Linked DNA regions of Danio rerio. The protein of the gene in region 1 interacts with the protein of each later gene in a biochemical or structural test. Links are inferred from orthologs where the notes say so. Each region holds a gene or a part of one and is shown on either strand. Other genes may lie near its edges.

What was found.
Region 2: of the proteins of amfrb (region 1) and herpud1, one has a biochemical effect on the other in vitro, tested with the Homo sapiens proteins (6 studies listed by BioGRID and IntAct, with this or other methods). The link is inferred for Danio rerio from reciprocal best matches to the Homo sapiens genes AMFR and HERPUD1.

What each region holds. Positions count from the first base shown.
Region 1 is NC_133182.1:35,358,027-35,361,688, forward strand, and holds part of amfrb (E3 ubiquitin-protein ligase AMFR-like), read left to right. Parts: intron 1-136; coding exon 137-301; intron 302-664; coding exon 665-820; intron 821-3,662. UniProt on the Homo sapiens protein: E3 ubiquitin-protein ligase that mediates the polyubiquitination of lysine and cysteine residues on target proteins, such as CD3D, CYP3A4, CFTR, INSIG1, SOAT2/ACAT2 and APOB for proteasomal degradation.
Region 2 is NC_133193.1:18,988,529-18,991,358, forward strand, and holds part of herpud1 (homocysteine-responsive endoplasmic reticulum-resident ubiquitin-like domain member 1 protein), read left to right. Parts: intron 1-817; coding exon 818-1,183; intron 1,184-2,099; coding exon 2,100-2,217; intron 2,218-2,830. UniProt on the Homo sapiens protein: Component of the endoplasmic reticulum quality control (ERQC) system also called ER-associated degradation (ERAD) involved in ubiquitin-dependent degradation of misfolded endoplasmic reticulum proteins.

The DNA.
Region 1 (3,662 bases):
CCCAACCCCCCTGGCTACGGGCCTGATAATTATGTTTAAATGTATTTCTGATTACCCACAGATAGTAACTCATCATCCCTAATGAACTGTTGTGTTCGTTCGATTTCATTTTGGCTTTTGGCAATCCTGCTATTAGAACCTCAAGGACAAAACCTGGAACTTTCTATTCAACAAGCTGATCTTTCTGTTTGGTGTGCTGAATGTACGGACAGAAAGAGAGATGGCCATGTGGTGTCTGTGCTTCTCTGCTCTTCTTTTTCTCCAGCTGTTGGCACAGCTCTGCAAAGATCGTTTTGAGTTTGTAAGTAAATATATTATTTGCAGTGGATGTCCAGATACCTAATACTGAAAATCCTGTGCAAAACACAGATGACCTGCCATGTGACCACCACCAAAGTCCATATCAATTTCAGGTTGGACATTATAAATAGCATTAGAGCCCTAGAACTCTAGTCTGTTTACTAGACAACTTCTCAACTTAGTTTCATCATTACACAAAATTATGCTGTGTTTTTCCCATGTTAGTGGTCAATTGGACAGTAATGTTGAATGGTTTTACTCCTGCAACAACAACAACATCATGAATGAAAACAGTCTTAGAGTAATTTATTGTATAATCTGTAGCCATCATTTGACTATGATGTTGTTTGTTTGTATTTTATAGCTCTCATCTTCCCCCTCCAGCACGGCACTGGGAAGCCATATGCATTTGTTGTTGGTGTTGATGTGTTTGTTTGTGTCCTCTGGGGGGCTCACCATCATATGCGTACTGCTGGGGTTTTCCTTTGGTATGCACACACTCTCCTTTATGGCAGTCGAAGTAAGTTTGTGTGCATGTGAACTTGTTTGTCTCAGCCTCAGACATTACACCCACAGACCGCTAAATGAATGCCTGAGCACATTTCAAGTTCTTCAAGTTATTGGTTGAATGAGACATTTGTTTTGCACTTTTTTTAAACGAATCCATTATGATGGCAATCCCCCCTCATATGAAAAAAACGGTTTTGTAACTGATGATTATCGCTTGCAATGGTAAATACTGTTTTACAAATTTAGTGTACAAAAGAACATACTATTTATTTAAACTATATGCAAGGAGTTTTCACATTGGTCTTTTTTTGTAGGGACATAAAATTGTACACCTTTAATTCCCAACAGAATGAACTGTGATAGGTTGCTGTAAAATATCAGATGGACTGTGGGAGGTCTTTAACCAATCTAAAATAGAAAAAAACAAAAAAAACAAAAAAAAATCTAAAATAGTCTAGGGCCTGTATTCACAAAACATTTTATCCTACCACTAAGAGTTCTCCTAAATGGTGGTGGTGTGGAGAGATCCCCCCCCCCATGATTGTTATGGCCATACAGAATAAATGCACTTTATAAATGCCTATTACATAAATAGCAGTGGAAATAACAGACATCTCAGTCAGAAATTTATTATAAAAACTTTGTATAGAGCACAATATTAAATTGTCATTTTAAAATAATTGTTCCAAAATAAAATTTAAAATAGTCCTATATTCAAATAATGAATTTAAAATGCAATTTTTAAAAAGCATAATAAAGAAGAACATTTGAAAAAAAAAAGATTTTTCTTGCTTTTATTGTTATAGAAATTAAATGAAAAATTTCTTTAGAAAATAATTAAGTAAACATATTTAAAATGTTTAAAAATATAAAATGTATGTGAAATATGTTTAACATTTTAGATAAATTCAAAAATTTCTATTTATAAAACAGATGTTTGCTTTTTTTGTGTATTTTAAAATACATTTAAATAAATGTTTAAAAAGAAAACACATTTCTTTTAATATGGAAAAACCTCTGTGATTAAGTCGATAAGTTGTTTAAAGCTCATTGTTGTTAAATATTTAATTAGGGACCGAGCACCGAAACGGTGCGTAGGCCCTATTGGAATTGCTCCGTTTATTAGGGACCGAGCACCGAACGGTGCAAGGCCCTATTGGAATTGCTCCGTTTATTAGGGACCGAGCACCGAACGGTGCAAGGCCCTATTGGAATTGCTCCGTTTATTATTATTATTCTTTTCCGGAATGAATCGCGATTTTGAGGGCCTTACCATGCCCGAAAACTCACGCAACTTTGCACACGCCTCAGAAGTGGCGAAAATTTACGTTTGTTATGGGCTTCGGAAGTGGGCGTGGCAAAATGACTCGACAGCGCCACCTAGAAAAATTAAACGGACGAGCCCCCGATGCACGAATCACGCACATGCACGAAAATTGGCACACACCTCAAACACGCCAAAACATACGAAAAAGTCTCTTGGAGTCATATCTGAAACCCAACAGGAAGTCGGATATTTTTGACTTCCTGCGGCGAAAAAGTGGCGTTTTTGCCATTTCCAGGCGTTGTATTTTAACGAACTCCTCCTAGGGATTTTATCCGATCGACACCAAAATTGGCTTTTGTCATCTAAAGGCCTTGGCGATGTTAAATTGCGAAGCTTTAGAGTTTTCGTCGATGGGCGTGTCCGTGGCGGCCTCGCAAACTTTGATGATTCGCCACAAAACAGGAAGTCATTATAACTCAGGCATGCATTATCCGATCTGCCTCAAAATTCACACGTTTGATAAGAGTCCTGACCTGAACACGTTTACGTGCCGATATCCAAATACAGTTATAGCGCCACCTGCTGGCCACAGGAAATGACATGTTTTACATCGTAACAATCTCCTCCCACAAATTTTTTCGTATCAGCACCAAATTTGGGTTGTGTTATCTGAAAGCCCTAGCGATGATATATTGTGAAGATCTAGAGTTTTCGCAGAGGGGCGTGTCCGTGGCGGCATGACAAACCTCAACGCTTCGCCATGGAACAGGAAGTCCTTATTACTCAAGCACACAATGTCCGATCTGCCTGAAACTTCACATGGTTGATAAAAGTCCTCTCCTGAACACATCCTCATAACAATAATGAAGTGGGCGTGGCAAAATGACTCGACAGCGCCACCTATAAAAATTAAACGGACGAGCCCCTGATCTACGAATCACGCACATGCATGAAAAATGGCACACACCTTAAACACGCCAAAACATACGAAAAAGTCTCTTGGAGCCATATCTCAAACCCAACAGGAAGTCGGATATTTTTAACTTCCTGCGGCAAATAAGTGGCATTTTTGCCATTTCCAGGCTTTGTATCTTAACGAACTCCTTCTAGGGATTTTATCCGATCAACACCAAAATTGGGTTTTGTCATCTAAAGGCCTTGGCGATGTTAAATTGCGATGCTTTAGAGGTTTTGTCGATGGGCGTGTCCGTGGCGGCCTCGCAAACTTTAACGATTCGCCACAAAACCGGAAGTCATTATAACTCAAATATGCATTATCAGATCTGCCTCAAAATCCACATGTTTAATATAAGTCCAGACCAGAACAAGTTTACATGCCGATATCCAGATACAGTTATAGCGCCACCTGCTGGCCACAGAAAATGTCATGATTTACAAAGTAATAAACTCATCCCACAAATTTTTTCATATCAGCACCAAATTTGGTTAGTTTTGTATCTGACAGCTCAAGCGATGATATATTGTGAAGATCTAGAGTTTTTGCAGAGGGGCGTGTATGTGGTGGCATGACAAACCTCAACGCTTCGCCATGAAAAAGGAAGTCCTTATAACTCAACCACACAAT
Region 2 (2,830 bases), on another chromosome or scaffold:
ATTTAAAGGAAAAGTTCACTAATAAATGAATATTTGATGTAAATTTTGTTTACTTCAGGACATTGAAGATTCAGCAGACTATTAAAAACTGTGGTCATTGACAATTCACAAAATGGCACTGATGAATCACTAAGAACCATGATTTTAGCTAAAATATTATTTAACGGTCTACTTTTTTGAGGGGGGTTCCTACAAATAATATTGCAGTTTTAAAATGTGATTTATTTATTTAAAATGATCTAGGTTCTGCTTGTTTGAAAGGGTTTGCTGTTTGACCAAAAGTATGAAATAAAGAATCCCTATATATTAATTAATATTACAATTTTTCATTATTACAAAAATAATATTTAAGAAGGAACAAATGATAACTGATAACATTAAATAAGTGTAAAATTTCATTACTAATCTGATTTAATTAAATGGCTCTACTTTAATGTCTTTATTTTTTGAATGCTATTTGCTTTATGGTGAAAACCCTCAAGGCGTTTTCAATTTAGCATTATATATTAACTGAACTCAACACTTTCCATACAGAGATTAAGTTAAACAGCATTTACTGTAAAATAAGTTGCATTCTAAGCACAGGCTTAAAGATAAAGACCCCACTCAGTGTTTGTTTGCACAATTACTATTACTGTAAAACGCATTCTATTGGACTGTCCTGCTTTTAATGACAGCAGAAGGGTTTTTTTATTAAAGGAAAGTGTCAAAACTTTGACAATTTTGGTTCGTGTGTAATGAGGCAGCCTGGGCTCTAGTAAAAGATATTGAAAGTGTGAATGTACACTGTTTTAAATGCTGTAATGTGTTATTTCAGTCAAGCTGCAATGGCAGCCGCTGCCTCGGCTCCAATGACCACCCCTGCTGCCGCTTCCTCGCTCCCTGTTGGCCCTCATCAAGCTGCTGTACCTGCAGCTTTACCCAATCAAGGCCCCATCAATGACCTACCAGCCAATCAGAATGCCCCAGGACCTGCCTTCATCAACCCAGAGGGAGCCAATCAAAATCTCCGTATGAATGCCCAGGGTGGGCCTGTGGTCGAAGATGAGGAGGACATGAACCGAGATTGGCTGGACTGGATGTACACAGCATCACGATTGGGTGTCTTCCTAAGCATTGTATACTTCTATTCCAGCATGAGCCGCTTCATCCTGGTCATGAGCAGCCTGGTTATTATGTACCTGTAAGTTTACAAAACGTCATTCATTCATATAATATTCAATAACTCGTGTTTAGTGTTTTTGAGTATTGTACTAGTAAAATAGAAGTGGTTTTGAGTCACCAACTAGTTCACAAGAGTCATTTTCTGTATGTTTTTAATTTTATAAAATACAATAATAGACCAATCAATGTAATTTAAGGAACTGAAATACACTGGCTTAACTTTATTTCAATTCATCAGAAAGCATCAGTTCATAGGAATCATTTGTTTAGGAACTGGATTGCAGTAGTTATGCTCATACTTTTGTTTCTCTAAAAATAACTAGTTAAAAGGAGTGATATTTGAGGAATTGGTTGCTCTGTTTTGTTTTGTGGTGCCACTGAAGGTCTGAGGGTTTCAGTATTGTTTTGTCCTCGTTGGTGAAAAAAAAGACAAGTGCGAGATTCTTTAATTTGTAAGCACAGTTTCACTCTGTTACGCAACTTCAGGCAGTGAGCCATTTGTTGGTGTACAAACTCACACACGCATTCCTGAGCAATATGAAAGCAACGAGCAGTTAAGGCGAGCAGAAATTATCAGGCTCTCTCTGATCAGAAAGAAGACATATGCCTGCATTTGAGGGCCTTCTGAGACTTCTTTCGCTAATCTCCAACTGTTAGAACTGAGTGTTAAAAATCAACTTCTGATGCTTTATCTCTGCTAACGTGGCAGTTTGACTAGTTTAAACACCAGTGCGTGGCAGTCCAGAAATCATTAGCTTGATCTGAGGGTGTTCAGTGTGTGATGGCCTTAACATGCAAACTTGACTTCACCCTACAAAATAAACAATTAGCTCGGGCTGACTTTTTTTAAAAACTTGATGGTGTCATTTTAATGGAAATAAAGGCATGAATGTGTTTTTGTCATTTATTCTAATGATTCTCTTTTTCTGTTTCAGACACACAGCAGGCTGGTTTCCTTTCAGACAGAGGCCTCAAGCCAGGCCTCAAAATGAGCCAGCACCCGAGGTCAATCAGAACCAGCAGAACCAAAATGAGGACCAACATCCAGAACCCGTAAGTTTCTCTTTTTACCTTGACGACAGAAAAATGCTCACACTGTGCAAATCAGGGCAGAATGCGCATTTATCTGAGCATTTATATTACAATATTTGTAAAAGATATATTTATATTTAATTATTTTTATTATTATTATTTAATTGTTTTGTTTATTAATTATTATTATTTTTAAATAATTTGTTTTTAAAACTATTTAAAAAAATATTCATTTATATATTTATTTCTTTGCCATTTTTTTACATTATTGTTTTGTTTTTTATTATTTTTTTTATTTATACAATGATGGCCATGTTATTTTACTTTTGATTGTTTGATTTCTGTACTTAAATACTCCCCATAAAACCCATTTAGCAGTTTATTTAGCTTTTAATTTATTATAATTTTTGTAGCTCCACTGCATAAATAAAAAATAAGATCATTCCAGTCGACTTAAATTGATGTAATCTTTCCAAATAGAGGTATTTAAATCACCTAATAAAATGATATATATACTAAATATAAATTGCAGAAAACAAAATATCACAATGTCAGATTTTACCAATATTGTCCATCTTTGGTGTGTGGTATCTATGTGTGTGTATGTATGTATGCATGTATATTGTTCTGTGAT